Linked DNA regions of Xenopus tropicalis. The protein of the gene in region 1 interacts with the protein of each later gene in a pairwise test. Links are inferred from orthologs where the notes say so. Each region holds a gene or a part of one and is shown in the gene's direction. Other genes may lie near its edges.

Region 1 (4,763 bases):
TGTATGGTGCCCAGTGTGTGTCTGTGGGTAGGGTTTGTATGGTGCCCAGTGTGTGTCTGTGGGTAGGGTTTGTATGGTGCCCAGTGTGTGTCTGTGGGTAGGGTTTGTATGGTGCCCAGTGTGTGTCTGTGGGTAGGGTTTGTATGGTGCCCAGTGTGTGTCTGTGTGTAGGGTTTGTATGGTGCATAGCCTGTGTTTGCCTCTCCCCCATGTACCGCCTGCACCTTGCCTCTCCCCCATGTACCGCCTGCACCTTGCCTCTCCCCCATGTACCGCCTGCACCTTGCCTCTCCCCCATGTACCGCCTGCACCTTGCCTCTCCCCCATGTACCGCCTGCACCTTGCCTCTCCCCCATGTACCGCCTGCACCTTGCCTCTCCCCCATGTACCGCCTGCACCTTGCCTCTCCCCCATGTACCGCCTGCACCTTGCCTCTCCCCCATGTACCGCCTGCACCTTGCCTCTCCCCCATGTACCGCCTGCACCTTGCCTCTCCCCCATGTACCGCCTGCACCTTGCCTCTCCCCCATGTACCGCCTGCACCTTGCCTCTCCCCCATGTACCGCCTGCACCTTGCCTCTCCCCCATGTACCGCCTGCACCTTGCCTCTCCCCCATGTACCGCCTGCACCTTGCCTCTCCCCCATGTACCGCCTGCACCTTGCCTCTCCCCCATGTACCGCCTGCACCTTGCCTCTCCCCCATGTACCGCCTGCACCTTGCCTCTCCCCCATGTACCGCCTGCACCTTGCCTCTCCCCCATGTACCGCCTGCACCTTGCCTCTCCCCCATGTACCGCCTGCACCTTGCCTCTCCCCCATGTACCGCCTGCACCTTGCCTCTCCCCCATGTACCGCCTGCACCTTGCCTCTCCCCCATGTACCGCCTGCACCTTGCCTCTCCCCCATGTACCGCCTGCACCTTGCCTCTCCCCCATGTACCGCCTGCACCCTGCCTCTCCCCCATGTACCGCCTGCACCTTGCCTCTCCCCCATGTACCGCCTGCACCTTGCCTCTCCCCCATGTACCGCCTGCACCTTGCCTCTCCCCCATGTACCGCCTGCACCTTGCCTCTCCCCCATGTACCGCCTGCACCTTGCCTCTCCCCCATGTACCGCCTGCACCTTGCCTCTCCCCCATGTACCGCCTGCACCTTGCCTCTCCCCCATGTACAGCCATCTTGGAACGACACTTCCCATATGGAGATCAGATGGGATGCCCAGCTTTGCCATGTTTGGGAGTAGCTCGCTGTGGGTATAGGGTGCCAGGGGTGAGACAGTGGCGCATACTGGAGATGGTGCCCCAGGGGAGTCATTTAGTGCGAGGAGGGGAGAGATAAAATCATAGAGAGGAAAGCTTGAATGGATAGACATGGCGGGTGTGATTGGGCCATATACATGGTTGCCCAGATAGCCCAATGGCCTGTGTGAGGGGACAGGGGGGCACATCTGTCCATCCATACACCCCCAAAATAAGTCACTGACAGCAGAACTGGGGCAATCGAAACTGACACCCAAGGCAAATACCTTTTGCCCCCCCCTTCCCCTTTAATCCACTTTTATCCCAATTTTCACTCTCGGAAGACTCCTCCGACCCCCCCCTCTCTTCTCTCCCGGCCTCCAACGCCGACTCCCCAATCCCAGCGGAACGGCCGAGCCACATGCAGCCACCGGAAGCCACGAGCCAATCAGTTCCGAGCACGTGGAATTCCCAGTGACGATCTCAGGCAACCGACATGTCCCAACGGGTCCGGTATCTGCCACAGGTTGGTGACGACCCCCCCCCACCTTTGTTTAGCAGATCCAGGTGTTCTGTGTAAAGGCCAAACCCATTTCCTCTTGGAATTATGGGAAGGTAAAACCTTCAGGATCCTGATTGGAGGGTCCTGTATGCACATATAGAAACCGTAGCCGCTGGGGGAGGAGCTAAATAGTAAGGGGGAGTAGCCAATAACATTGGGGGGGGCTGTATCCGTGTGGGTTGATTTTGGGAGCAGGTTGGCCGAGTGTGTGCGAGGTCAGCTGACCTCTAATGGGTGCAATTAAGCCAATTAGTGAGCACTGTAGGCATCCGCCGGTCTCTATTAATTGCCCCACCCGGCCGTGCGTTCTTGATGAATAAGTCCTTCCCCCGTGGGTAAGGTAAGTCGCTAATTGCCCTCGTTACTTACAATTAAATGAATAATTACAATTAAAGGGAAAGTACACCTTCTTTAGCCACGTGAGTGGTGTAATGTGTCCGGATGCCGAGGCTGAATGCCAATCAGGGTGGAATGTGGGCTGTGTGGCATATTTGCTCTCCTCCGAATTCTGATAGGGTGACTTGCCATACCTGGGAAAGGGGGGGGAGCTGGGCAAATGCTGCTCGTAAAGGGGCGGTTTACCTTCAAGGTAATTTGTGTATGTTATAGAATGGCCATTTCTAAGCAACTTTTCAACTGGTCTTCATTATTTATTTCCTATAGTTTAAATATTTGCCTTCTTCTACCAACTCTTTGGGGGTCACTGACCCCGGCAGCCGGAAACAATTGCTCTGTGAGGCTCCAGTTTTATTGTTATTGTTACTTTTTATTCCTTATCTTTCTATTCAGCCCCTCCCCTATTCATATACCAGTCTCTCATTCAAACCACACCCTGGTTGCTAAGGTAATTGGAGCCCCAGCAACAGGGTCACTGACCCCGGCAGCCAAAACCTATTGCTCTGTGAGGCTCCAGTTTTATTGTTATTGTTACTTTTTATTCCTTATCTTTCTATTCAGTCCCTCTCCTATTCATATACCAATCTCTCATCCAAACCACTCCCTGGTTGCTAACATAACTTGGACCCTAGCAACCAAATAGCTGCTGAAACTCCAAACTGGAGAGCTGCTGAGCAAAGTGAAATAACTAAGAAACTACAAATAACAAAAAACGAAGACCAATTGCAAGTTTTCTCAGAATAGCACTCTCTGCATCACTAGAATATTGCACTGTTTATTGCCCGGTGGCTCATTGGTCATTAACGTTCCTAACCTCACTGCCTCTCCATGTGACTCCCCAGCAGCAGCAGCCGTGCAGCCAGTAATGGGAAGTGATCTCTGCAGACTGTGAAGCTGCACTGTGGTATGCGACTGTGTGCAGACCAGGAAGTCATTTCTACACAGCCGCCTTCGCCCCTCCCAAACCCCCGTGCTCTACACCTCTCCTTCTCTCCTTGCCATTCCTGCTCTCTGACATGGGACGGAGTAAGACGCTTGGCTGAAAGCTCCCAGACGGACCAACTGTTCTAGAAGAGGTGAGCTTACCCTTTATTGTAACCCCCTCTCCCAGGCCCCAGAGAGTTAATCTGATCTCTCTTTCTTATCGAAATATATATAACTTTGCCTTTAATTCAGTGTAACTACTGCGGCTATTTAGAAACTTATGCTCTGTGTGTATTTAGCACTTACCCTATCTAACCCATTCTATAGCACTGGTCCAGTCTGCAGGGAGGCAGAATTGTGTACAGAACCATGTACAGAATTGAATTTTGTAGCTGGACCATGTACAGAATTGAATTTTGTAGCTGGAACCATGTACAGGATATAATTTTGTAGCTGAAACCATGTACAGGATATCATTTTGGAGCTGGACCATGTACAGAATTGAATTTTGTAGCTGGAACATGTACAGAATTGAATTTTGTAGCTGGACCATGTACAGAATTGAATATTGTAGCTGGAACCATGTACAGAATTGAATTTTGTAGCTGGAACCATGTACAGAATTGAATTTTGTAGCTGGAACCATGTACAGAATTGAATTTTGTAGCTGGACCATGTACAGAATTGAATTTTGTAGCTGGACCACGTACAGAATTGAATTTTGTAGCTGGACCATGTACAGAATTGAATTTTGTAGATGGAACCATGTACAGGATTGAATTTTGTAGCTGGAAACATGTACAGGATATTATTTTGCAGATGGAACCATATACAGAATTGAATATTGTAGCTGGACCATGTACAGAATTGAATTTTGTAGCTGGAACCATGTACAGAATTGAATTTTGTAGCTGGAACCATGTACAGAATTGAATTTTGTAGCTGGACCATGTACAGAATTGAATTTTGTAGCTGGACCACGTACAGAATTGAATTTTGTAGCTGGACCATGTACAGAATTGAATTTTGTAGCTGGACCCTGTACAGAATTGAATTTTGTAGCTGGACCATGTACAGAATTGAATTTTGTAGCTGGACCATGTACAGAATTGAATTTTGTAGCTGGAACCATGTACAGAATTGAATATTGTAGCTGGACCATGTACAGAATTGAATTTTGTTCCTGGAACCATGTACAGAATTGAATTTTGTAGATGGAACCATGTACAGGATTGAAGTTTGTAGATGGAACCATGTACAGAATTGAATTTTGTAGCTGGAAACATGTACAGGATATTATTTTGTAGATGGAACCATATACAGAATTGAATATTGTAGCTGGACCATGTACAGAATTGAATTTTGTAGCTGGACCCTGTACAGAATTGAATTTTGTAGCTGGAACCATGTAAAGGATATAATTTTGTAGCTGGAACCATGCACAGAATTGAATTTTGTAGCTGGAACCATGTACAGAATTGAATTTTGCAGCTGGACCATGTACGGAATTGAATTTTGTAGCTGGAACCATGTACAGGATATAATTTTGTAGCTGGAACATGTACAGAATTGAATATTGTAGCTGGAACCATATACAGAATTGAATTTTGTACAGAATTGAATTTTGTAGCTGGAACCATGTA
Region 2 (4,732 bases), on another chromosome or scaffold:
GACTCCCCCCCGGCACCTAATTAAGTTCATCTTTGATCTGTATTTGGTTAGCAAAGACCTCCTCTAGTATTCTGATATCTCCCATGGCCATGTACAATTCTCTCAAAAGTAGAAGCACAGCACAAGCACTCTTAATTCCCCTGAATACATTGATGGGTTAAAATACAGTCCTAAGAAGAGCTAGGTCATGTAGAAAGCCCGTCTCAAATATATTTTAGATATAGCAACTTACATTATAACTTTTTGGCAACGCACAAGGTAACTGAGCAATTGGATTACAGGGTTTAAAACTCATTATAAAATTGCTAAAATTAATATAAAATAAAACACTACACTACATAAATTGGTATACTTACTATACAGGTGGATTGTATAGTCTTTTACAGACAGTGAATTGCTTAAATGGGATCTCTTATCCAGAAACCCATTATACAGAATGCTCTGAATGATGAGAAGGCCACCTCTCATAGACTGCACTTTAAGCAAATAATTCTAATTTTTAAAAGTGATTTATTCATTCTCTGTAATAATCAAACAGTGCCTTGTACTTGATGGTACCTAAGCTGTGTGAATCCATATTGGAAGCAAAACAATCCTTTTGGATTTATTTGACATTTAAATGATTTTTAGCAGGCTTGAGGTGTGGAGATTCAAATTACAGAAAGATCCCTTATCTGGAAAACCTCAAATCCCAAGCATTTTAGATAAAAGATTCTATGCTGGTACAACAAACTAGGCTTCTGTGCCATAGGTGAAGGGGTTAATGAGTATTTATGCTGATGAATAGAACAATATTGTGTTACTGTGCAGTAAGCAGTACCTGGAGCAGATTTTAGGGACAAACATCTGAAAAACACAGGTGTGACTTTTAGTTGGGAAAACACACATGTTTCCTATTTACTAAGAGGATGTTACATCTTCCTATTTCTGAAAACAATTTGAGGAGAACATTACTCAGGTTCTGCGTTACTCTCGCCAAAAGAGAACAATGTATACTGCTTACTTCCCGCTGTATAAAACTGCACATATATGTCCTATGTTGGTAAAAAGTTATAACCTAGTGCAGCTGGCAGGGGATTCTGGGAGTTATAGATTCAGTAACAGTAGGTTAATGGTGCCTTAGTTAAAGCTATTTATATTGTATCACATTCACTACACAGAACACTAAAAAAGAAATAAAATGGCATGTATTGCTTGGCATGGCACAATACTTTCCAATTGATTTCTTACGGTAGAATGAGCTTTTTGTCATTGTGTCAGTATATGAATTACTAAGACCTGCGTGCAGTTTCTCTATATCCATATTAGCAATGGGCAGAACCGGTTTAAGTTGTACATAGACAGTGCAGTGATGCTGTCGCAACTTGGAAGGATCTGTGAGTGCTAAAGTTTTGGAGAGAGTTTGTGGTCAGTACTGTGTTGCTAAGCCAGCCCCCAGCTCACATTACACACTATTTATATCCTCTCTTAGCTGTTCCCCCATTAAAGCAGCTCCTTGGGACCACCTTCTGTTGGCTTTAACCTCTCCTACTCTTGACATCTGAGCAGCTCTGCAAAAGCTCATCTTGGTCAGAGCAAACTGTTTAAGCACAGGAGACTGGCCACCAGGCTGAAGACCTGGATTATCTGATCTGTACTGAAAGTGTGCCGTTACTGTTTGGGAAAAATATCATTTTACAGTGAAAAGTGACAGCGTTGTGGAGTTTAATCCTGCCAGAATCTCAAGCCTGCAACTTGAAACTTGTATGCCATGGAACACACACTGTTTGGCTGCCTGCGCAGCCCCCATGCCACCTCTCAGGGCTTACACCCCTTTGCCCAGTCTTCTCTTGCCCTCCATGGAAGATCCGACCACATGTCCTATCCTGATTTATCCTCTTCTTCGTCCTCTTGCATATTAACTGGCTATCCCAATGAGGAGGGCATGTTTGGGAGCCAGCATCACAGAGGACATCATCACCATCATCACCATCATCATCATCACCAGCAACAACAGCACCAGACCTTGCAATCAAATTGGCACATTCCTCAGATGTCATCTCCTCCTGCCTCCACCAGACATAGCCTTTGCCTTCAGCAGGAATCTGGACCTCCAGATCTAAGTGGCAGCCCCTCTATTTTGTGTTCAAACACATCCAGCCTGGGCACTAACAGCTCAACGGGTGCAGCTTGTGTGACAGGGGACTATGGCAGACAGACCCTCTCCCCGGCAGAAGCAGAAAAGAGGACTGGCAAAAGAAAAAGTGACAGTTCAGGTAAGGATATTTGTGTTTACAATGTCTGAGCATGCAGCAAAAAGGAAATATATATTAGCTGGTAATTGTGATGCCTTGTATTGGATTAGCACTGCATTGCAGAAAGTGGCACAGCAGTGGTGCAAACCTAAGCAACTGTATGCCTAGGATATGCCATTAGCATCCATGCATACGGCAGCTTCTTCTGACAGTTCAAATTGAGCAGAGAGGGGTTTTTCTGTTGCTCAAAGCTTTGTGTTCGTACTCACTGGCAAATGCATTTAGCAGTGTAAAAAGTACTAGTTAGACACTTGCTAACTAGCATGTATACAATATTTCAGACATGTGCAGCTTGCTAACACTATAGGAATGTTATAAACGCTATGCAAGACATATTATAAGTAAAAAGTTTCTATTTAAACAGGAAATACTTGTATATTACATTACAATACGAACGGGCAGAAATAGTTCCCTCTTTTCAAGTCTTTCCTGGTGTATTCCTATGTAACAATCCTGTCAGTGTCAAAAGAATATCAAATTCCTTTAATAAGCAAGATTGAATCCAAGTATCATTTTTTCATTTGAAATTACAATCTATTTATTGACACAATCCTTCAGAAACCCGTGCTGCACTCCATCCTTATTCAGCCTGATCCAGTATCACTGCAGTATTATAACAAGAAATGGAGATCACTTGTTGACTCCTGTTTCTCTCAGCAGCCAAACTATTACAAATGCAATTTTATGGCAGATAAAAAGACAATTGGCACATTTAGACTGCCCATTCCCCCTTCCTGCAGGAATAAAATAGAGAGATTTCATCCCAGGGAGGGCAGCCTTTTTTGCCCGTCCCAGCAACTGCAGAAAGGTGTTAATTATATTATCAGCTAACACCTCCTCTGGGAAAGCCATATACACAGTCTGCATCAAATTAAGAGTTTAATTAACAAAGTGCAAAGTGATGGGTAATATTTGCTTTAATTCAGTCACATAAGCCACTTCAGTGAAATCAGTTCTTTTGAGCCTATTACATCACTTTCACTGATCAGAATCTCTGGCAGACCATAATAATATATACATTTTTAATCCGCTGCATATCAATAGTGATATGAATAACTACCAATCAATATCTAGAACTGAAAAAGTCAAATGATTCATAACAGACACCTTCCGTCATACCTGAAATACCCCAAACAGACATGAACACTAAAATCCTCTTTTCCATTTCCATTTAAAATGGCAAATTCTAGTAAAAGAAATACAATATACGTGATACTTGCATATCAGTAGCATAAGAAATGAACATAGTATATCACACTGAATATAAACATAACTGAAATATGTATTATATGTTCCAGTTCATTGGTGATTTCGATGCTTATCATATATATATTTATATATATAAAGTGGAGTAGCTTTATCCTGCTATTAGATGATGGCGAGAGATAAGTGCAACTATATTAACTCACTAATCAGACAAGTGGTCAGTGGAATAAGTGAAAGCGAAGTCATAATTGGAGATGACCTGCTTACCATTCCTAATTAAGTCTTATGAGATATTCTGATTGGGATGAATGGTTATTCAATAATTATAAGACATGAATGACAAATGAGTAATTCGTGACATATGTTTGACCTTATTTTTTCTTCCAGGCTTGGGGCTTTAAACAAGACAACTTTTCAAAAGTTATTATTCCAGTGTTTAATTAGTCTGTCTAGGCTTGCAATGCTTTTAAACCTCTCCCCCCCCTTCTGTTTTGTCTGTTTAGGGAAGATAACATTGGCAAGCGTTTAAAGAAAATAAATTACCAGGAAATCTATACCTAATCACAGAGCAAAAATGACAAACTAGCTTCATTAACCACGGTGTATCCAATAACTGGGTCCTGGCGAATTTGAGAAACTGCTGTTCTTTCTTTTAGAGTCACTTCACAAACAATTGTTTTAAGGGCATTTGGTTTCTGGAGAAATGAAAGGATGGCTTTGTGAAACAGTATACCTATCCAAATTATACAATCTAGAGTCAAAGTTAATGGCCCGGACCGTGTCCTATCCATTATATGTGCATATTTCGACATAGAAAAATCTAAACTATGGGCGTCTAGGGGTTGCTGAACTGCAATCATCAGCCTTTAGCCTTAGGCTGTGACGAGAATGCTGTAGTTTATCAAGAGCAGGAGGGCCCCAGGTTGGATGTCAGTCCTGTAACACTATTTTCCTGTATCTTTTAAGCCTCGTCTATCACTCAAGTTACCTTTTGTGGGGTGGGGGGGGGGGGGATTTGATGAGAATTTCACAAGCGATGTTAGAAAGCTGGTACTTATAATTAAGCCTACTTTGGCTAGTGATACCCTTCAGCAGACCACCAGAATAGCACCTAGAGAAAGTGCAATTAGAATAATCCTTATCATACCCTTTCAGCCATGTGCGCACTTCTGACTGTTGTGCATTCTGTCTGCAGAATCATGTACAATTAGGTTAGTGGTCTAACATTACAA
Region 3 (2,828 bases), on another chromosome or scaffold:
AGCGATTTAAGTCACTTGGGGATGCCTAACATTTTGGCACCCCCAAGTGACTTTGCCTTTCCTTCTCCTTTAAAAGAAAGTATATAGTTGGTGAAAGAAATAGCTTCTCCACTCTTCTTAGTAGCTGAGTAATATTAGTTTCTTTAAAGCCTTATAGCTTTAGGGCCCTATTTTATTGGGCAGCCTAAATGAATTGCATTTAAAAGTTCAGATATGTAAGGTCAGTTCATAAAAGAAAAACTTACTGAGAAAGAACTGAGAAACTTAAAAGACCAATATTTAAACACTTCAGCTAGAAAGAGATTTTTTATGTTGCCTTCTTTTTTCCCAACTGTAGAAATGCTACACAAAGACATTAATAAGGAGCTTGTTTCCAGAGCGTTAGAAGTGGAAAATCTTCTGGCTGAGAGAAAATATGAAGACCTTGCATTCCACCTTACTTACTTTGAAAAAGCAGAAGTCACATCAGGAATTCTGCAGGGTACTGATATTGTCAGAGTTGTTTACAGAGTTCTTAAGACCTGTCCAAGAGGAGCATTGAAATTAAAGGCAAAAGTTTTATTGTCCAAATGGAAAAAACTATATAGAAAGTGTTGCCATGAAACTAGCTGCATTTGTGAGCATTGTAGTAAAATATGTGAAAACAAAGAAGGTCCTGAGAAACTAGCTGTCGATATCCAAGATCAAGTTCACAACAGTGAACAAAAAATATTGATTAATAAAAGCACAAGTAGCCCATCTTCTTACAAATTCAATCTAAACAAATCCGATTCAAGCGCACAAGATTGTTATGGTAACCATGAGGAATCTGTTACAGACCATGAAGTTCCTAAGAAAGTAAACGCTGAAGATTTGGCTCTGAGAACCAAATGCACAGAGCTCTTATACCAAGCATTGAGAGAAGACTCGGAATGCCAAGAGAAACTGCAGAATTTAGCAAAGGCAATTGAAGAGAACATCTATAAAATACATGCTGGTAATACCAAGAAATACAGAAACTGCATCAGAAGCAAAATTTCCAATTTGAAAAATCCTAAAAATTCCCATTTAAAGATGCAGATTTTATCCAGAGCTTTAAGTCCTAAGGTATTTGCTGAGATGGGTGTTATGGAAATGGCCTGCGATGAATTAAGGAATCTTAGAGCAAACTACACTGAAACCTGTGTTCAGGAGCATCAGCTACCACAAGGAGTTGATGGTGTTCACACCAATAAGATCAGATGTCGGAGGTGTGATAAGTTTAACTGTACAGTAACAATGATATCTAGGGGGACACTTTTTCTTCCAGGTTGGGTACGAACAGGAAACCCTGATGAGGAGATGATGACATTTGTAATATGTAATGAATGTGGTGAACAATGGTACCACAATAGATGGGTCTGCCTATGAGTTTGCACATTGGACTTGAACTGTGTTTGGCTTTTTTTTTTCTAACAATAGGTAAATGATCAGGACATAAATTATTTATTTTAGTGAACAAGAACTAAGATTATTTTAAAACTTACTTTAAAACTGTTATGTCTACACTTATTTCAGAGTATAACCTTAAAAGTGTCTAATTTATTAATATACAACAGTGCCTCTTTGAATACCATAAGAATAAGAGTTAAAACAGTCTATCCTTGGCAAAGCATTTTTTTAACAAAACTGTCACAACAAATATCTATTTGTGATCAATATTTCATTCACTGAGAATTCCGTAGGGTACTGTGGCAGCCCCCTCAGACATGTATAATAAATGTAGAAATGGAGTATTATTATTATATCTATGGTGCCCAGACATTACTGATATGGGATTCTGTATTTAGTAAAAGTCGATTGAGATAGGGTCTTTGGGTCATTGCATTACAAGACAAAGCATATATTAATATTTAAAAAAACACCACCCATTTCCCAGGCCTCATAATTAATATCTGAATCATTTGTAACTAGATGTAACTAGAACAGTTATCCAGTAATCTGCTGGTCAGCAACTCAAAATCTGCTGGGTTACAACCTACCTTTTGGGCAGTACTGTGCTGTAAAAGGAATATTTAATTTTAATTTAAATAAACAATATACACTGTTAATATAAATTGGCAATATTACTATGAAAAGTAGAAGGTATAAAAAGACATAAAGAGATACATTTGCCACAGTAGACAAAAACAATTGAGCAAAAATCACACACTAAAGTAAATGTTTATTTGTTCAGATATCTGTTAGCTTTGGCTGAAAATCCTGCAGCCCAGTGATCACATTAGGCTGTGGGTGCCTATTTGCTCTGCACGGCTGCCCTCTTGTGATGCATTTAGATTTCCCTGAATTTTGCAGACCACTGCTGTTTTAAAGGCCAACATGCTGTCTTACCTGTATATGTCCAGCCTAAGGAATAAGTAAACTGTTAATAGACTGAGTTAATAGACCGGTATTAGCAGTATAAAACTGCTAATCTATTTAAAACTGCATGATGTAAGATATTAAACTGCAGAAGTTCTTATAAAATCACTCTGAGTAAGTGTAATTTTTAAATTTTTTAATAAGAAATGTAAAAGGAACACGGACAGTAAATTGAGCTTCAACTCACTCACTACTATGACCAAAGTGAACCTGCATAGTTGGATTTATATAATGAAGTTATGCCTTACTAAACCCCAGCCCCTTTTAATTGTCCTCCCTTCCTGCTACCTCCCTGCACAGTATATTCTGTTCAAAAGTGTTATTACATGTTAACCTTCATAAACATACACAAGCACCATCTTCTGCCTGCTCAGACATATTTACACAAAATGTAAGCACAAGTGGGAAATTTTGAGTGGCAGTTTAGATGCTTTATTTTTATAGTGGAC
Region 4 (4,928 bases), on another chromosome or scaffold:
TCGCACAAATTGTTGCAAAGTACGAAAAAGTCATGCAAATTCATGAAAATATTGCAGAAAACAGCAAAACACGCATAAAAACGTATTCGGACCTGTCGTGCTTTAATGAATGTGCCCCTATGTGTTGGGCATCTGTGCCAGCCAAAGGCAAACACAGCCTGGGAAGATCTGTGCCCCCAGTAGCTCCCCATCTTATTTTCTGCTGATTCACTGCACATGTTCTGTGCTGCCGTCACTTACTGAGCTTAGGAACCAACTTTCAATATATATTGTATATAAATGTAACAAAATTAGGCTAATTGGTAATTTAGACAGATTATTACTACATGGCAGCTCAGAAAACAGAGCATTTAGCATCAGAATTTAACAATCATCTCTGTAGCATCAGCTTATTTGACAGACAAACCTCATTTTCTGCTTGATAATTTGTGACGACACTTTAGCTGAGCTTCTCAACAGATACTTAGAGCACACTAAGCACAGACTGTCGCACTTTCCAAGATGGGGAGCTCCGGAGCTCAGGGTTGGACTGGGCCGCCGGGACACCAGGAAAAATCCCAGTGAGCCACGGCGGCCCAGACCCGACCCTTGCCGGCACTCCCCCTACCCGACCGCTCCTCCCCTAATGTGTTAAATTTTTACGCGCTTGGGGAAGGACGTTGGATGGGGGGCCCTGCGAGGGGGGTTGGGGCGAAGCTATACATTGTCTAATTTCTTTTAGGTTCTGTGCAATAAAAAATATCTTGTGTGCACATTTTTAGAAACAAATACTTGAGTGAGTGGGTCAGAAAAGTAATTTGTGTTTTCACTCAGATTTGTGCACCAAAATTTAGCCCTGGGAACACTATTGGGGAGTTCCTAAAGGCCCCAGAATGGAACAACTTGTTTAGGCCAATGACCCCCCCCTTTTTTTGTAACGTTTGTTTTTATTGATTTTTTACATGTTTCATTATCACATTTGTTTTCAAATTTTACATGCGTAACATTTTGTATATTAGGCACATTATCAGGCTTAATGTCCTTGTGATTGTTCAGAGTTATAGTATACAACAAAAAAGGAGAGGTGGGAAGGAGGAGGAAGGAGGAGGAAGGGTGAGGAAGGGGGAAAAGGGTGAGGGGGGGGGAAAGAGGAACAGTATAACAATTTACGCCCTAGGTCTCCATATTAAGTTAAACATTGTTAATAGGTTCAGTGTTTCCTTCACTTATTTATTGTTTTTAGATTGTTTACGGGAGTCCTACCCATAGCCTTGTGTTTGAGAGAGGGTCTTTATTTAGTATCCAGGTATCCCATATCTTTAGGTATAGCTGTTAATTTTCCAGTTGGTATTTAAGAGCTTTGATGGCGTGTATATATTCTGTTTTGTCCAGGACTTTCTTGATAGATAGCGAGTTCGCTTTCCATTGGGCTGCAATATGAATCCTAGTTGCCATGCATATATGTTGTGTGAGGTGTTGTGCGGGGTTGTTAAGGTTTAAAGTTTGTGTCTTAAGAGCATAATACTTTGTGGCATGGGGGAATGGTGTTAGGGTCACTGGGGAGTGCCCAAGAATCTGGCAGCCCCCAGTATTTTAAGATTCTTTCTCCATTGAGAACAAGGGACGGTTCAAAGGAAAAATGTACAAACCAGAGACTATAGCCGAAAATAAAGAAGAGGTGACAGCTCTGCCCAACAAATCAATGGGATAAACGATAACAAATACAATTGTGCACTAACACCGATTTACTCGTAGTTATAGTTAGTATTATAAAATTCATTCCTTTATACAGACTAGCACGTCTCTAAACTGATAATTATTAAGTTGCTTCTTTACAGAGAATAAGAAATTTGCCAAGAGTTGGCCAGGCAGGAGGCGGGGCTACATTGCGCTCCCTGTTGCTATAGGCTGCCAGCTGTGGGAGTGCTTTGCTATTGGACGCTGCACCCTTCCTGCACACTCGGGATCCCAGAGGGGCGGCTGTGTGCGAGTTATAGCGGGGCCTCGTTGTTCCTTGTGAAGCTGAATAAGCATGGAGCCGGCAGCAGGAGTGAAGGTGAGGTGGCTGCGTACACCTGCTCCCCATTCTGTGTAGCTGAGCTGTGAGAGTGCGAGTTGGTCGCACGTTGTGTCACTGTCGCTGCGTTTCTGCCTTTCGCGCCACCTTCACACGCTCGCTGCCCATTCATCAGATGTTCGCGGTGCATTTCGGGATATGAGCAGAGCGGCGGCTCCGGGTTACACTCTGCGCCTTGTTTCTATACTGATATACAGTTATATAAAGTTATATACAGCTATATACAGTTGTTATATACAGCGCTGGGAGCGCATTACCGCCCTGCCGCCTGCGTTATACCGAGTGCACTGCGGCTGGCGGGGGCTTCTGGGAGTTGTGTGGTTTCATGTTGTGGATTTCGTCAAAGACCTGGAAAATACTAGAGATGCAACTAAAGTGTTAATCACCTACCTTATAAATGTATTCTTATTTTTAGGACAAAAACTACTCAGGGGAGGAGGGAATTCCGCTGGCAGAATGTTACTGGCCCCACTGCTTGGGCATTGCTGCCTGGGCCGCTCTTATAGGAGATATGGGGGGGGGGGGGGGTCCCTAAAACTTCCTCACATGGGAGCGCACACCCTGTGCCCACAAGCCTGGTTCGAAACATAAACATGAAATAAATACAATAAGAATGGCCCCCTTACCACTGACATTGATTCATGCAGTGTAGTTACCATCAAGTACAAGGTGCTGTTTTATTTCTAGAGAAAAGGGAATCATTTTTAAAATGCTTAAATTTGACTATGGGAGGAATCTGGAGCTTTCTGGGCAAACAATGGAGTGAAAGCGGCGGGGGCGTAGGCACTGGTGGTTCGGGGGGCGTAGGCACTGGTGGTTCGGGGGGCGTAGGCACTGGTGGTTAAGGGGCCGCATTAACGAGCCGATGTGGTTCTCGATCTGACAGAAGAATCAAATCTGTGTGATGGAGACGTGGCTGATCTCAGGCCAGATGTTGGTTGGTGCCCATACAGGGGCAGGTAGGTCCAAAGGACCGCTATAGGCAGCTGAAATGGGCCTGTGTATGGCCACCGTTACACACCAGGGCTGTTACAGGATGGACACGCAACCCTGCATTTTCTATTAGTTTGTACACCGTGGAATGCAAGAAAACAACAAAAACAAATTTGTGTTTCACCTACACTTTGTGCCCACGCACCAGTGAGTACAAACTAATAGCAAATTTTGCATTTCTTCCTGTTCCAGCGCAGGGGACTGCAGGTAAGAACACTTGTGTAAGAGCCGTAGGACTGTTCATATCCCTTGGCTGCAATTACTCTAGCCCCCTGATCCATTTTGCTTCTCTCTGAAGCAAGGACATATCCCATTTTCCTCCCCATGTGGGTTTACCCACCACTTCTAAAGCTGGCCATACACACACCGATAATATCATACGAAACCTCGTTTCGTACGATATTCGGTGCGTGTATGGCAAGTCGTTGAGTTGACCGATATGGCAGGAGGCTGCTGATATCAGACGATTCGCCGATCGGCCAGTTAAAAGATTTTGATCGGGCGCCATAGAAGACACCTGACCAAAATCTGCCGTCAGGGCTGAATCGGCAGAAGGAGGTAGAAATCCTATTGTTTCTACCTCCTTATCTGCCTGTTTCAGCCCTGAAGGTTAGTGGCGGATCTGACAATCTTTCAATTGTGGCCACCTTAATAATAAAATATTTTACCCATCAGAGGTGCGGGCTAACAGACTGACTCCGGGAAGAGGAAAACAGTATGCTTTTTTTTTTTTTCCCCAAAAAAGCCCCTTAGTTACACTGGAAGGCCACGTTGGGGCACAAGTATGCGCATAGTGAGTGAATGCCCCAGCTTGCTCATCATGTGCTTTTGGTTCATGTAGGATTGGTTGATGTTTTCCCCATTTAGAAAATTAAGCTGCCTGTCAATAATTTGTGGTAACCTCGGTTTTCTATATGTGAGCATAAAAATGGCCCTTTGTAAGGCACTGGGGCCATTACCATAGCAGTTGATTGCTATTTTATATACACTATTCTGCCTAGCTATGTAAACTGAATTACCTATGCCCCACCACCAACTAGTAACTGGGTTACCTATGCCCCACCACCAACTAGTAACTGGGTTACCTATGCCCCACCACCAACTAGTAACTGGGTTACCTATGCCCCACCACCAACTAGTAACTGGGTTACCTATGCCCCACCACCAACTAGTAACTGGGTTACCTATGCCCCACCACCAACTAGTAACTGGGTTACCTATGCCCCACCACCAACTAGTAACTGGGTTACCTATGCCCCACCACCAACTAGTAACTGAGTTACCTATGCCCCACCACCAGCTAGTAACTGAGTTACCAATGCCCCACCACCAGCTAGTAACTGAGTTACCAATGCCCCACCACCAGCTAGTAACTGAGTTACCAATGCCCCACCACCAGCTAGTAACTGAGTTACCAATGCCCCACCACCAGCTAGTAACTGAGTTACCAATGCCCCACCACCAGCTAGTAACTGAGTTACCAATGCCCCACCACCAGCTAGTAACTGGGTTACCTATGCCCCACCACCAACTAGTAACTGAGTTTAGCACTCTTCTTAGGGTGAAGAGCTACTAGTAGCAGCTACTTGTCACAGCTACTAAAAAAGACAATGCTGCTCATTTACTGATAACGGTCTCTACCTGTGTTTTAGCAGAGGCAATTCTCAGTATTGTCTGTGGCAGGGGAATTTCTTGTATTTAGTAGCCACTCACAAGTAGCTGCTGATAGTAGCACAGTGTGTTTTCACTCTTAAATTGGTTCCATCTTTTCCTGTGGAGCATGTGAGAAGGTTCTCATGCGGTACAGCACATAGACGTGCTTGACTTGTTATAAGAATACAAGTATTTGGTAGGAAACTGGTGAACATATTTTAAGATT
Region 5 (4,154 bases), on another chromosome or scaffold:
TCAAAAAGGATTTTTTCCCCTCTAAAGCAAAGAGAGGCTTCAGAAGGTTTTTTTGCTTTCCACTGGATCAACTAGCAGTTAGGCAGTTTTTATATAGACATAAAAGGTTAAACTTGAAAGACGTGTGTCTTTTTTTTAAAATGACACACAATGTTACTATGTAGTAGAAAAGCTTCTAATGGGAATAATAAAGCATGATATACTTGAATATCGTGCACAAAACAATACTTTGTCTTCATCGTTTTATGTACAATAGATCTTGCCAGACAAGTTTAATTGCCTTCTATGGGGATGCAAGCTGAAATTACTGCTTATTCAACATCTGCCCAGAGGAAAGTCCTGGACTTCATTATTTAAGTATGATGACTATTCTGATGAGAGTTGACAGATTTTCCAAAATGATTCCTTTTATTCCTTTGAAACTGCTTCCTTCTGCTCTTGAACAGGCTTACAGTACAATATTCTTCCACACATCTCTTACCCTGGCTCAAGTTAAAGAATCCATAGAGGCACAATGATGTGGTCATCATAGAATAAGGCCAGGCCATGGCCCTAAAATGCTTTAAAGTGATTCTTGCAGAATACAAAAGCTGTTAGGTTTAAAGCTCAAATTTAGGGATTCCCATATCACAATTCATCAGAGAACAATTACGTGGCTGGAACAGAAGATGATGAGGCTCCTTTGACAGTCATGGACTGTTGTAATGTCATGTAAGGCAATCCAAATCCATTTTTTTTGGGGGGGGGCGGGGTCAAAATCAGAAAATGAATGAACAGGACAGGAACCAGAATAAAGGAGTAACATTCAGAACCAGGAAAAAACAAACGTGATCTACAATTAACATTGAATGAGTTCAGAGCTGGGTATCATATAGGGTAGCTGATGGCAAACTCAGAGATCCTGTTGCAGTTAGTAACAGCTGAGCAACTCAAGGATGACATAGCACTGAACCAGAGAACCAACCATATCAGGGTCTAACTAGATGTTACTGGGCCCCACAGCAAGTTCAGTTTAGGGCCACAAAACATTGTAAAATGAACTAATTCTGCCACAATATATTGCCCTGTAAATAGGACCTTACTGGGCACCCTACCCTCTTGGGCCCCCTGCAAAGGCATGGTCTGCTTCCTTTGTAGCTATGCCCTTGACCCATATATAGAGAAGGGGTATTACAGACTCCATAGTTAACTGCTGTATTAAATGAGTTCAAAATGAGTTCAACAGAATCTGTCCTTATGCTAGTTTGCCTGGCTACTAGACAGAAAGAAAGACTTGGTTCTCACCGAGTTACCACTTCAGAAGTAATTTCCCCAAGCCAAATAGACAATGGTGTCTTCTCACCTTCTCATATTCTCTCTGGACAGTCCCTCTCTCCAACTGTGGGACCTCCTCGTTTTGGACGGGGATTGTTTTTACCACAGTACAGAACATTATTTTCTTTTCAATTTAAAGTATCATAGAACCAACCAACCACTACCCCTTTTCCCTCTAAATAAAGGAATAAATCATAGCCAAACACCTTTTTATTCTCTATTTTAAGGTCATCATGATATTATTGATAACTTTTGCTTGAAGTATCTATTTCAGAGTTTCAAATATTATTAAGGCACTTTTTTGGTATACTTAAAGCTTAAACTTAAACAAAACTGAAACACAAAACTGAAATCAATAACTTTAAATATAATGTAACCACCCACACAACTTAATGTAAAATTGTTCAGAGTGCTCTGCTGAGCAATTTTTCCTTTTATTTTCACATTTAAATATTATTAAACAATTATATGTTATATAATTATATATGAATGTTATATATGTTAAAGTTAAGCAAGACTACATCCATTAGCAAATTTAAATTGTTTTTTTTTTTTTATTTCAGAATGGCAGTCCATCAATCCCACTATGAACCATTACCTGTTTCTGACCTTCAGCGCGTTCTTTGGTGCCACAGAGGATCCACTGGTCATGTCAATCAAGTGTGGCCAAGACTCTACCTCGGAGATGCGTAAGATGACAGGGAGTAATAAGATTTGACACATTTTAAAGGCAAATAAACATTTTAAAGTGAGCGAGCTAGCTTTCCATTTAATTGTTTCATAGGTTAAACTGTGAAGGGTGCTACCATAGGCAAGCCAAGGCAGTGGTTTAAGGGCTACAGACTGAGGGTTAGTTTTTGGAATAACTAACATTTACTATTCTAAAACACTTATGAAACTGGTTGTCTGCTGTACTTACACAGTGGTGTTTTGCTTAATTTCTAATTCTTCCCTTATGAAAATGGTATTTTGCTTATTTCTTAATTTTTCCCTTATCAAAAAAAAAACTTCTTTATTAATTTAAAAATTGTACTTTTACCTGTCCAACTTTCCCCAAAGATTCAAAAGCCCAGCCCCACCCAAAATCCAGCATATTTTTGTCCTTCTGATTCTTTTTTTCATCACTTTGGAAGCAAATTTTCTTTTTAGTTTTGTGAAAACATTAGGCGTTCCAATATGGTGTCCTAGGGACTAGGGCCTTGGTCCTTGGAAATCTTTAATCCACTCAAGCATATTACATCATTTGTATGAAGTCCTTAGTGCTTCACATTCTGAATCGGGTAGAGCTGGTAGGGATGGCAAGGTTCCCATCTGCCCCGTTTAAGAAACTTTTCCTCGGAAAAACTGCCCTGGGAAATGTCTCTGGTATTTGAATCTAGCACTGGTGACACTGGCGATCTGTAAGAATAAGCTATTTTGGTCTGTAGGCATTCATTTCTTAAATTACAATTCAAAGCAGAGCTTTGGCATTGAAGAATCTGAAAGAGGCTGATTTTGGACCCTGCACAGATTCTTTAGCCCCAACATTGAACATAGTATTGAGAAGCGCAAACCTACAGACTGAGGTAGAGTAGAGCTACTCAGAAAATTGGTAAGAGGGAGTGAGTACAGGATTGCAGCTTTGCAATCTGAAGGCATGTCTGTAAAATAGGGAGGAAGGTTTGTCAGGGGTGGGAACAAAAATGGGCCTGGCTTAATATTTTTGCAGCAGCACACAACTATTTTTGAAGGCTCTGAAAATCTGGTAACCTTACATTGTGGTGCTATGGCTAATATTACTTGGTTGTTTTAGATCCATGTGTACTCCCCAGCCAGCTTACAGTATATCAGGTGGCAAATTCTGGTTCCCCCACTCATGTTCCTTACCAGCCAGGCAGTGCTGTATGTGCCCCCTACACCCCTGTGATGTTTATTGTTTTGAGAGTGAGGTGGCAGTTAGTTAAGGTGCTCATTGAGGTACAGGGGAACCATTTATGGTTTTTGAAGTATCAGGGGTGGATTGCTGTCAGCCTGGTGGTGTGGGGTGAGCAAACAGCTCTATGGCCACAAGATAATTAGTTAGGGTCTGCAGTTTATGGCCTTCTTTTCTTTTTCCCAAATATTGGGGCATACTTTTTTTTTCTTTGAATGGAAGAATTTAGGGTTCAAAGCCACTTGCCATCCTCCAAAGTCTGTCTTGCTGTTGATGTAAAAGGTAAAAAAAATTACCATTAATTTGCTAGCTCAAAAGTAGAGAAGGCTGTTTTAAGATTACCTTTAAATTGTTAAAGTGCAATGTGCAAAATTTATTTTTGGATGTAAGTTGCCATGTTTTTTTAACCAGAATGCAACACGCCCCTCCCAGAATTCCAGCAGAATTGTGATCCCTAATCGGCAGTTTGAGATGTAGTGAAATTCAGGTTACATAGGGACAACTACCAGCAAAGAAAGTTAAGTTGACCTGTAGAGATAGATACCTGCTAGTTGTCTAAATCTCCTCCATTAGAAGCCTCTTAGGCAAGGTATGACCTAGGATATCTATCTCCCAGGCAATCTGTGCTGCTCTTTCTAATCCGTCCTAACTATCTTACACCTTTGAGGATTACTATGGCATAAGCTTTATTGTCACTAATACCTTTTTTATTAGGTCTCCCTGATTCACTAAGAGCTGGTTCCCTTAGGACACAGTTTCTTTACTGGGATAATATGCTCCAGGCTTTCCAGTCCAAAAAGGAAGAGGAATGAGTTCCTTCCCATTTCATTAACTAAGGACATGAACTTGTCATAACACCCTTGGGCCAATAGACGATACTTCCCTTCCAAAGGACATAGGTATCACTAACCAGGACTTCCTGGGCCAA
Region 6 (3,766 bases), on another chromosome or scaffold:
ATAATACACTGGGCAGTAACATTTGCTCCGGTGACCTTGGACAAGTTACTTAATATCCCATTACTTAATAAAAATATCCACTAAAACACATTCTGTGCCATGCTCCAGTCATGTGTCTCGATATATTTGGAGGCAAAATGGTGAATTGTTTATAGAGGTATTTTTGCTTCAAGTCTTGACAACCACTAATTATGAACCTACTATTATTATCTTTCTTAAGTAACAGAAGTAAAGGGAGCATAATTATATATTATATATTCCTAAAAGTGGGGCTGCTACTTCTAGGGGTTTGATAGAAAGGCACAGAATGATGAGGGAAATATATTTATATATGACTTAGGGTAAATGGCTGAATTGCATTGATACTCCTGGAATTACATTAAGATTACTTATTATGGCAATATAGTAAATGTTATTTATGTTATTATTAAGGGCGGGCATGAGTAAAAGATGGACTGCATTATGGGCTTGGAACCAAAAGTCTGAAATCTTGGTTTATTTATAACTAAGCAAGCATTCAATTTTTTTTTTTAAACACGAGTTCAGTTCACAAACTCGAAAATTGAGAAATAAACCCATAAGTTCCTATATAGCATAAAGTAATACTGAGTAGGCAACAGAACTTCATGGCCAGATGTTATCCTGTTTTTATTTTTATACAGATATTGCCAATACAAAACAGAACATTATTATCACCTAAATGACAGGATTCCAAGATGTTCAAGAGATGATCACATGACATAAATCATCAGTCTCAGTTTTCCCTAGAGGCTGAACATGCTGCCAAATATTTTCTTATCCTTAATTTTTACATTAAGAAAGAGATTGCTTGGCCTGATTTGCGGTCAGCATTTAGAAAAGGAGCCTTTGTACTGTATTTAGAAAAACATGTTAATGGTTATGTTTCTCTCATAGCTAAATTCAAGCGAAAACATCTTTTAAAAAAATGATCAATATCTACCCATAAATATGTTTCGCAGAGTAAATAAGGTCAACTTTGTTCTCTTATTTTCCTTTCTTGCTTCTTTCAGCTGCAAACAAGCATAGACAAAGCATGGCTGTGCTGTAGGCTAGATTTATAAATGCTGGCTTTGTATTTGGATTAAATGCCAGTTACATACAGGGGAACCACACTAATTAGCTTTCTACCATCAGCTGATGACAAACAGCATCACCGTACACAGCTCCTGTCCTACTGAATGCATATAATATCGGCATTAATAATAGAAGTATTTTGAACAGGAAGCAGAACAAGCTAAAGTCCAATGCAGCCTATTCTAAAAGGGGACCAACCACCCTAAGAAATATTTTCAAATCTTTTTTATAGTGTTAGTTGAGCAAAATAAACATTTCTTATTATACATATATTATTTAAATCTGGTCTCTTTCATTATTTTGGAACATGCACAGTTTGAGCATACAGGCAGGCAACATTTTGTGAAAACTGTTATCAACGCAAACTTTGTATGATCCCAATATGTAATGTATGCACTAGAATGAGGTACCTTAGGCACATCCCCATTCACAGGCTAAAAATTATGCACAGCAAGTAGAAAGAGGGAATGTGAGGAGAGCAGTGACATCTGGCAAGTGTAGAAATAAAAGTGAAAGTGAATGCTATGCCTAAAGGCAGGGCAGGCAATATATGACAGTTGAGATTTTTATAGCTTATAACAGGTATGGATTTTATGGATATGAAAAATAGATATTGGGTTTTATTTTTAATTTGGAAGGGGCTCTCAGTATACAGCTTCTTTATGTCTGAGTGGCAGGTCCCCTTTATATAATTACTAAAATCTAAACAGGCTGATTCTTGGCCTACAGATTAATGCAGGCTGAGAATCAGCCCCTACATTAGCATCAGACTTTCCTTGTGCCTGCACTCGGAGCCATTGCATCAGGCAGGTTTAGCCTTATATATAATTTTAAGCCCCCGTGGAGCTTACAATCTAAAGTCATATTTGCACACACTAGGGTCAAGTTTTTTTAAGCTGCCTGTATTTTTTTTTAAATGTGGTAGGAAACCATGCTAACATAGACAAACATACACATTTCTTGCAGATAGTCCCCAAGCCGGTATCAAACTCAGGACGCCAGTGCTACAAGGCAGAACTGGTACTCACTAAGCCACCATGCTGCTCCCTTAAATAGTTTCTGGTTACACTCACTGATATGCATGCAGTGTTTTTAGAAAATAAGCATAAAGACAACTGAAGTCAGACTGTGAAGTATCTTTATATAAATTTATCAGAAGACTTTGGGGCTGATTTACTTACCCACGAACGGGTCGAATGGAGTCCGATTGCGTTTTTTTCGTAATGATCGGTACTTTGCGATTTTTTCGTATGTTTTGCGATTTTTTCGGATTCTTTACGAATTTTTCGGATCCAATACGATTTTTGCGTAAAAACGCGAGTTTTCCTATCCATTACGAAAGTTGCGTAAAAAGTTGCGCATTTTGCGTAGCGTTAAAACTTACGCGAAAAATGCGCAACTTTTCGCGTAAGTTTTAACGCTACGCAAAATGCGCAACTTTTTACGCAACTTTCGTAATGGATACGAAAAACTCGCGTTTTTACGCAAAAATCGTATTGGATCCGAAAAATTCGTACAGAATCCAAAAAAATCGCAAAACATACGAAAAAGTCGCAAAATGTTCGTTTTCAAGTCGGAACTTTTCCAATTCGGGTTGGATTCGTGGGTTAGTAAATCAGCCCCTTTGTTTTAAGACTAGATAATAGGTGAGCTAAAGATAGGTGAGATAATAGGTGAACATGGTCCTAGCTTATGAGCAACACAAAGACTAAAAAGAGTATTAAAGAACAGTGACTTTATCCTATTACTATAGATTCACTATCAAATGTATTTTCTTCTGTTTCATTTTCCTTTCAATAGGATGGGTGCCAGTTCAGCTGCTTGTGGGAACTATGATGCAGAAGCTAAAGTGGCCAAAACAGATAAGAACCTGTCTTCTTCAAAAATGTCAAAAAGTAATGAAAGGTCCAATGAGAATTATGTCAACAGCCCTGTGATGTGTAATTCTCTCAGTCAGCAGTCAGAAATAGGTAGCACAATCTTGATTTCGCAGGAGCCATCATTTCCACCTTCATATTTCTCAAGCAACATTGCAAGTTTCTTGTCGTTTGATACATATAAGGTTGGTCCTTCTACGTGCTCGAATGTAAACAATGATCATTATCATGTGGCGACTAACCACACTGATGCTGTGAGAAACAATGACAATGGACTGTGCCATGTAAGTTGTTTATATGACATTGGAACACTTGAAAAATCAAACCCAGTAAAACCTTTCCTGGGCAACATTGCAGATTATGACAGTTTAGTTTTTAAAAATGATGCATGGAATTCCACCACTTCAGTTTCTAGGTTGCCATGCTCTAACAACTTCTGTTCTGATGAAATAATGTCAGAGCACTATCCTAATGCATCTGAACTCAGACCTGAAATGGCAATGACGAATGGAAAGCTAGCAGCAAAGATTGATGAATTTAATAGAATTGTTTTTAAGACAGAAAAGGGAAGCAAAGTTTTCCATGAGTCATTACATGACATGTACCAGCCTGCAAAGCAGGAGTCTTGCATTCACTCGCTGGATCACAGTTTGAGCACTGCTCGGACCAATATTAAACCAGATAATGAGGCTGAAATAACTGTGCAATTCTATGAAAACAGTGCAATACAGAGTGAAACTTCTACAGTCCAAAAGTTGCAAGCACATGGATCTCACAGCCGAAGTAGCTACCAA
Region 7 (4,946 bases), on another chromosome or scaffold:
CTAAGACAAACTGCAATTTGTCTTCTTTTTTTATTATTTGTACTTTTTAAGTTGTTTTACTTTTTTCTGCAGCTCTCCGGTTTGGAGTTTCAGCAGGTATCTGGTTGCTAGGGTACACATTACCCTAGCAACCAGGGAATAGTTTAAATAAAAGACAGGAATATGAATAGCCTCGCAAAGGCTGTTGGGGTCAGTGACCCCCATTAGAAAGCTGGAAAAAGTCTGAAGAAAAAGGCAAATAATTAAAAAACTTTGAAAAATAAATAATGAAGACCAATAGGAAAAGCTGTTCTGTAACATACCGATAGTTAACAAAGGAAAACAACCAATTAAAGAAATTAATTCAATTGTTTCGCTATTAACAAACTACATTAAGTGATTCAGATCCCCACACACTGTGAGCCTGGCACTGCCCTTAGGGGCACAGATTCGCCACTCTGCGTGGGAAAACAATCCCTGCCCATCGCTTCTTTCCACTTGCTTGCATATTAAACTAGCCCCTAGTAACCAAGCCCCTAGTAACCAAGCCCCTAGCATTCCAATCCTGCCCATCTGATTATTACACAACCCCAAGCTTGCAGAACCCCACTTGCTTGCATATTAAACTAGCCCCTAGTAACCAAGCCCCTAGCCCCTAGTAACCAAGCCCCTAGCCCCTAGCATTCCAATCCTGCCCGTCTGATTATTACACAACCCCAAGCTTGCAGAACCCCACTTGCTTGCTTATTAAACTAGCCCCTAGTAACCAAGCCCCTAGCAACCAAGTCCCTAGCCCCTAGTAACCAACCCCCCTAGCCCCTAGTAACCAAACCCCCTAGCCCCTAGTAACCAAGCACCTAGCCCCTAGCATTCCAATCCTGCCCGTCTGATTATTACACAACCCCAAGCTTGCAGAACCCCACTTGCTTGCTTATTAAACTAGCCCCTAGTAACCAAGCCCCCAGTAACCAAGCCCCTAGTAACCAAGCCCCTAGTAACCAAACCCCCTAGCCCCTAGTAACCAAGCACCTAGCCCCTAGCATTCCAATCCTGCCCGTCTGATTATTACACAACCCCAAGCTTGCAGAACCCCACTTGCTTGCTTATTAAATTAGCCCCTAGTAACCAAGCCCCCAGTAACCAAGCCCCTAGTAACCAAACCCCCTAGCCCCTAGTAACCAAGCACCTAGCCCCTAGCATTCCAATCCTGCCCGTCTGATTATTACACAACCCCAAGCTTGCAGAACCCCACTTGCTTGCTTATTAAACTAGCCCCTAGTAACCAAGCCCCTAGTAACCAAGCCCCTAGTAACCAAGCCCCTAGCAACCAAGCCCCTAGTAACCAAGCCCCCTAGCCCCTAGTAACCAAGCCCCTAGCATTCCAATCCTGCCCGTCTGATTATTACACAACCCCAAGCTTGCAGAACCCCACTTGCTTGCTTATTTAACTAGCCCCTAGTAACCAAGCCCCTAGTAACCAAGCCCCTAGCCCCTAGTAACCAAGCACCTAGCCCCTAGCATTCCAATCCTGCCCGTCTGATTATTACACAACCCCAAGCTTACGGAACCCCACTTGCTTGCTTATTAAACTAGCCCCTAGTAACCAAGCCCCTAGCAACCAAGCCCCCAGTAACCAAGCCCCTAGCCCCTAGTAACCAAGCCCCTAGCCCCTAGTAACCAAGCCCCTAGCCCCTAGTAACCAAACCCCCTAGCCCCTAGTAACCAAGCACCTAGCATTCCAATCCTGCCCGTCTGATTATTACACAACCCCAAGCTTGCAGAACCCCACTTGCTTGCATATTAAACTAGCCCCTAGCAACCAAGCCCCTAGCAACCAAGCCCCTAGCAACCAAGCCCCTAGCCCGTAGCCCCTATTCCAATCCTGCCAGTCTGATTCTGACACAACCCCACGCTTGTAGAACCCTACTTCCGGTGTCGCGTCCCGTACGCGTCATTGTGTAGGCGTGACCGGAAGTGTGCCGCGTACATTACTGCAGCCTGTGGAACCCGGGGCTCAGGTACCTGGAACTGGAATATCGGTAACTATGACGCCTCATGGAAGCTTATTTTAGCATTTAGCCCCACTTGTTTGTGTTTGGTATAACTAAGCCGGGGCTGCTCAGTGAATACGGGGTGTCTGGTTCCCGCACAGGAGCGGAATGGCCATGTGTACCTGTCTGGTGTCAATGGCTGCGCTATTAGTTTCTTCCCCATAACTGTTTGAGGGGATTATGGGAGTTGTAGTTTAAATCCTGACCTGTGATTATTGTCCCTTACTAAATGCTGTTACATTGATTGCTGCATTGTATCTGGGTAATGCATCCAGTTCCATAGCATGCCATTTACTCACTCCATGCCCCATTCCTCTCCCATCACTCACTTCAGCATGGCCCTCTTTAACCCCTTATGGGTCACTGTAAGTAGTAGTACTTCTCTGGTTGGCTGTGGCTACTGAGCCATTCTGGCCAATCAGGAGGGGGAACGCAGCCGACTGGACATATACTGTTCAAGGTTATTTCTATCACTTGTCTTTTTTTTTTTTTACCTAAATCCAAGGAAAAGGACATGGAATGTTTTGGGGGGCCCCAAGGCACAACCCTGTATAGCCATAAAGGGGTTGGGCACCTTTGAGTTATCTTTTAGTTTGATGTAGAGAGTGATATTCTGAGACAATTTGCAATTGGTCTTCATTTTTTTATTTGTAGTGTTTTAGTTATTTTATTTTCAGTTCAGAAGTTCTCCAGTTTGGAGTTTCACCAGCTATTTGGTTGCTAGGGCCAAGTTACTTTAGCAGCCAGGGAGTGGTTTGGACAAGAGACTGGTATATGAATAGGAGAAGGCCTTAATAGAAAATTAAAGTTACAAAAAGTAACAATAAAACTGTAGCCTCACAGAGCGATAGATTTCTGGCTGCCAGGGTCACTGACCCCCATTTAAGGGCTCTGGCACACAGGGAGATTAGTCGCCCGCAACAAAACTCCCTGTTCGCGGGCGACTAATCTCCCCGAGTTGCCGCCAGTTGCCATCCCACCGGCGACAATGTAAGTCGCCGGTGGGATGGCACACGCAGCGGCGCGATTTCGGGAAATCACTGAAGTTGCCTCGCAAGGCTTTTTCGTCGATTTCCCGAAATCGTGCTGCCGCGTGTGCCATCCCACCGGTGACTCGGGGAGATTAGTCGCCCGCGAACAGGGAGTTTTGTCGCGGGCGACTAATCTCCCCGTGTGCCAGAGCCCTAAAAAGTTGGAAGGAGAAGGCAAATATTTAATAAACTATAACAAATAAATAATGCAGACCAATTGAAAAGTTGCTTAGAATTGGCCATTCTATAAAACACAACAACTTATATATTGTTAAATATTGTTTCCCTCTCTCAGGCACCATGTCTATGTCGCACCTTTATGGCAAAGATGAGGACAGCGATGGAGTGGAAATGGAGAACTTTGAGATCACGGACTGGGACCTACAGAATGAGTTTAACCCCAACCGCAGAAAGCATTTCCAAACAAAAGAGGAGGCGACCTATGGGATGTGGGCAGAGCGGGACTCTGATGATGAGAGGCCAAGCTTTGGGGGGAAAAGGTTGGTGGGTCTTTAGATTGGTAGGAGGGGTCACTCAATAGTAATAGTCACCTTCTTGCGTGCAGTTAATGATACAGCACCACCCAATACGGACACCTTTCATTTTATTTCTTCATAGGTCTCGAGACTACTCGGCCCCTGTCAATTTTATCAGCGCTGGGATCCGTAAGCCTGCTGCAGAAGAAAAATCTGATAGCGATTCCGACAGTGAAACGCAAGCAAGGAGGGAAACTTTCCCAAAGGATTTTGAGGCAAAGAAGCTAAGGACGGTAGGATGAGTCTAAGGAGTGTTTGTACTTCCCAATAGTAATAGTCTGACAGGGTTAAAAGGGGTGTTCTTCTTTAAACCAACTTTTGGTTGCTATTCTAAAACAATTTGCAGTTGGTCTTCTTTTTTTTTTTATTATTATTTAGCTTTATATTCAGCACTTTTCCAGTTTGGAATTCTAACAGTTATATGGTTGCTATGAACCAACATAACCTAGCAACCAGTCAGTGGTTCAAATGAGAGACTGGAATAATAGCAGGAGTGGGTCTGAATAGAAAGATAAGTTTAAAAAAAAAAAAAAAAAAGTAATAACAGCGTAATTGTAGCCTCACAGAGCAATAGTTTCTTGCTGCCGGGGTCAGTGACCCTCTTTAAAAAAAATGAGGACCAATTGAAAAGTTGCTACGAACTTGCTCTTCTATAACCTACTTAAAATTAACTTAAGGACGAACCATCCATTTATAAGAGAGAGAACTATTATTGTAAGAAAGACACACTATATTCATTGTTTCATTCCAAAGCTTCAGTCAGTTTCAGTTTGTGTATTTTACAGGGTGGTAATTTCAAACCATCACAGAGGACATTTGCTGGAGGAATAAAGTCAAACACAGATTTTGGTTCTTGGGAGCGGCATACCAAGGGAATCGGCCAGAAACTTCTTCAGAAGATGGGTTATGTGCAAGGAAGAGGCCTGGGAAAGAATGCTCAAGGTATAACTGGGTTCTTTGGCCAGTGAGGTTAAATTAGAAGCTCTACTGAGGCAGGGGCTATTCTCAGATGGAAACGTGCAATAGTAGCTTTTATTATAATCTGACTGTAAGTATGTGAGAAAAATGTATTTTATAGCCAGGATATTCTTTAAAGGATAAGAAAACTTCAAAATAAGTTGATGAACATTTGCAATTTACATTCATAATTATTTTTTTAATGCCAAGATATTAAGGGATAAAGTATTGTTAAAGAGTTACTGACACCAGAAATGAAACCTTTTTTACATCAATCATAACATTGTCTTTGCATGAGCTTTATAATTTTGCCATAAAAGTATTTGCTGATGCTTTTACATTCCTTATCTGATCCCCCATGTTCTTCTGTGAGGGGGCTGCCATATTTGTGC

The links.
Region 2: the proteins of card9 (region 1) and meox2 interact in binary tests that used the Homo sapiens proteins (3 or more experiments, as listed by UniProt). The two-hybrid records come from large-scale screens. The link is inferred for Xenopus tropicalis from reciprocal best matches to the Homo sapiens genes CARD9 and MEOX2.
Region 3: the proteins of card9 (region 1) and tceanc interact in binary tests that used the Homo sapiens proteins (3 or more experiments, as listed by UniProt). The two-hybrid records come from large-scale screens. The link is inferred for Xenopus tropicalis from reciprocal best matches to the Homo sapiens genes CARD9 and TCEANC.
Region 4: the proteins of card9 (region 1) and cdca7l interact in binary tests that used the Homo sapiens proteins (3 or more experiments, as listed by UniProt). The link is inferred for Xenopus tropicalis from reciprocal best matches to the Homo sapiens genes CARD9 and CDCA7L.
Region 5: the proteins of card9 (region 1) and dual specificity protein phosphatase 13 interact in binary tests that used the Homo sapiens proteins (3 or more experiments, as listed by UniProt). The two-hybrid records come from large-scale screens. The link is inferred for Xenopus tropicalis from reciprocal best matches to the Homo sapiens genes CARD9 and DUSP13B.
Region 6: the proteins of card9 (region 1) and kiaa0408 interact in a two-hybrid assay, tested with the Homo sapiens proteins (2 studies listed by BioGRID and IntAct). The two-hybrid records come from large-scale screens. The link is inferred for Xenopus tropicalis from reciprocal best matches to the Homo sapiens genes CARD9 and KIAA0408.
Region 7: the proteins of card9 (region 1) and tfip11 interact in binary tests that used the Homo sapiens proteins (3 or more experiments, as listed by UniProt). The two-hybrid records come from large-scale screens. The link is inferred for Xenopus tropicalis from reciprocal best matches to the Homo sapiens genes CARD9 and TFIP11.

Annotation. Positions count from the first base shown.
Region 1 is NC_030684.2:6,411,618-6,416,380, reverse strand, and holds the start of card9 (caspase recruitment domain-containing protein 9), read left to right. Parts: upstream 1-1,586; 5' UTR 1,587-1,764; intron 1,765-1,956; exon of another isoform or gene 1,957-2,140; intron 2,141-3,038; 5' UTR 3,039-3,272; intron 3,273-4,763. UniProt on the Homo sapiens protein: Adapter protein that plays a key role in innate immune response against fungi by forming signaling complexes downstream of C-type lectin receptors.
Region 2 is NC_030682.2:36,890,757-36,895,488, reverse strand, and holds the start of meox2 (homeobox protein MOX-2), read left to right. Parts: upstream 1-1,600; 5' UTR 1,601-1,750; coding exon 1,751-2,255; intron 2,256-4,732. UniProt on the Homo sapiens protein: Mesodermal transcription factor that plays a key role in somitogenesis and somitogenesis and limb muscle differentiation. Required during limb development for normal appendicular muscle formation and for the normal regulation of myogenic genes.
Region 3 is NC_030678.2:105,786,851-105,789,678, reverse strand, and holds the end of tceanc (transcription elongation factor A N-terminal and central domain-containing protein), read left to right. Parts: intron 1-337; 5' UTR 338-339; coding exon 340-1,389; 3' UTR 1,390-1,880; downstream 1,881-2,828.
Region 4 is NC_030682.2:39,660,187-39,665,114, reverse strand, and holds the start of cdca7l (cell division cycle-associated 7-like protein), read left to right. Parts: upstream 1-1,905; 5' UTR 1,906-2,011; coding exon 2,012-2,035; intron 2,036-4,928. UniProt on the Homo sapiens protein: Plays a role in transcriptional regulation as a repressor that inhibits monoamine oxidase A (MAOA) activity and gene expression by binding to the promoter.
Region 5 is NC_030683.2:55,074,957-55,079,110, forward strand, and holds part of dual specificity protein phosphatase 13, read left to right. Parts: intron 1-1,877; 5' UTR 1,878-1,878; coding exon 1,879-2,003; intron 2,004-4,154. UniProt on the Homo sapiens protein: Dual specificity phosphatase that dephosphorylates MAPK8/JNK and MAPK14/p38, but not MAPK1/ERK2, in vitro. Exhibits intrinsic phosphatase activity towards both phospho-seryl/threonyl and -tyrosyl residues, with similar specific activities in vitro.
Region 6 is NC_030681.2:67,958,421-67,962,186, reverse strand, and holds part of kiaa0408 (uncharacterized protein KIAA0408 homolog), read left to right. Parts: intron 1-2,895; coding exon 2,896-3,766.
Region 7 is NC_030680.2:15,107,299-15,112,244, forward strand, and holds the start of tfip11 (tuftelin-interacting protein 11), read left to right. Parts: upstream 1-1,906; 5' UTR 1,907-2,018; intron 2,019-2,192; exon of another isoform or gene 2,193-2,490; intron 2,491-3,356; 5' UTR 3,357-3,361; coding exon 3,362-3,561; intron 3,562-3,679; coding exon 3,680-3,830; intron 3,831-4,382; coding exon 4,383-4,539; intron 4,540-4,946. UniProt on the Homo sapiens protein: Involved in pre-mRNA splicing, specifically in spliceosome disassembly during late-stage splicing events. Intron turnover seems to proceed through reactions in two lariat-intron associated complexes termed Intron Large (IL) and Intron Small (IS).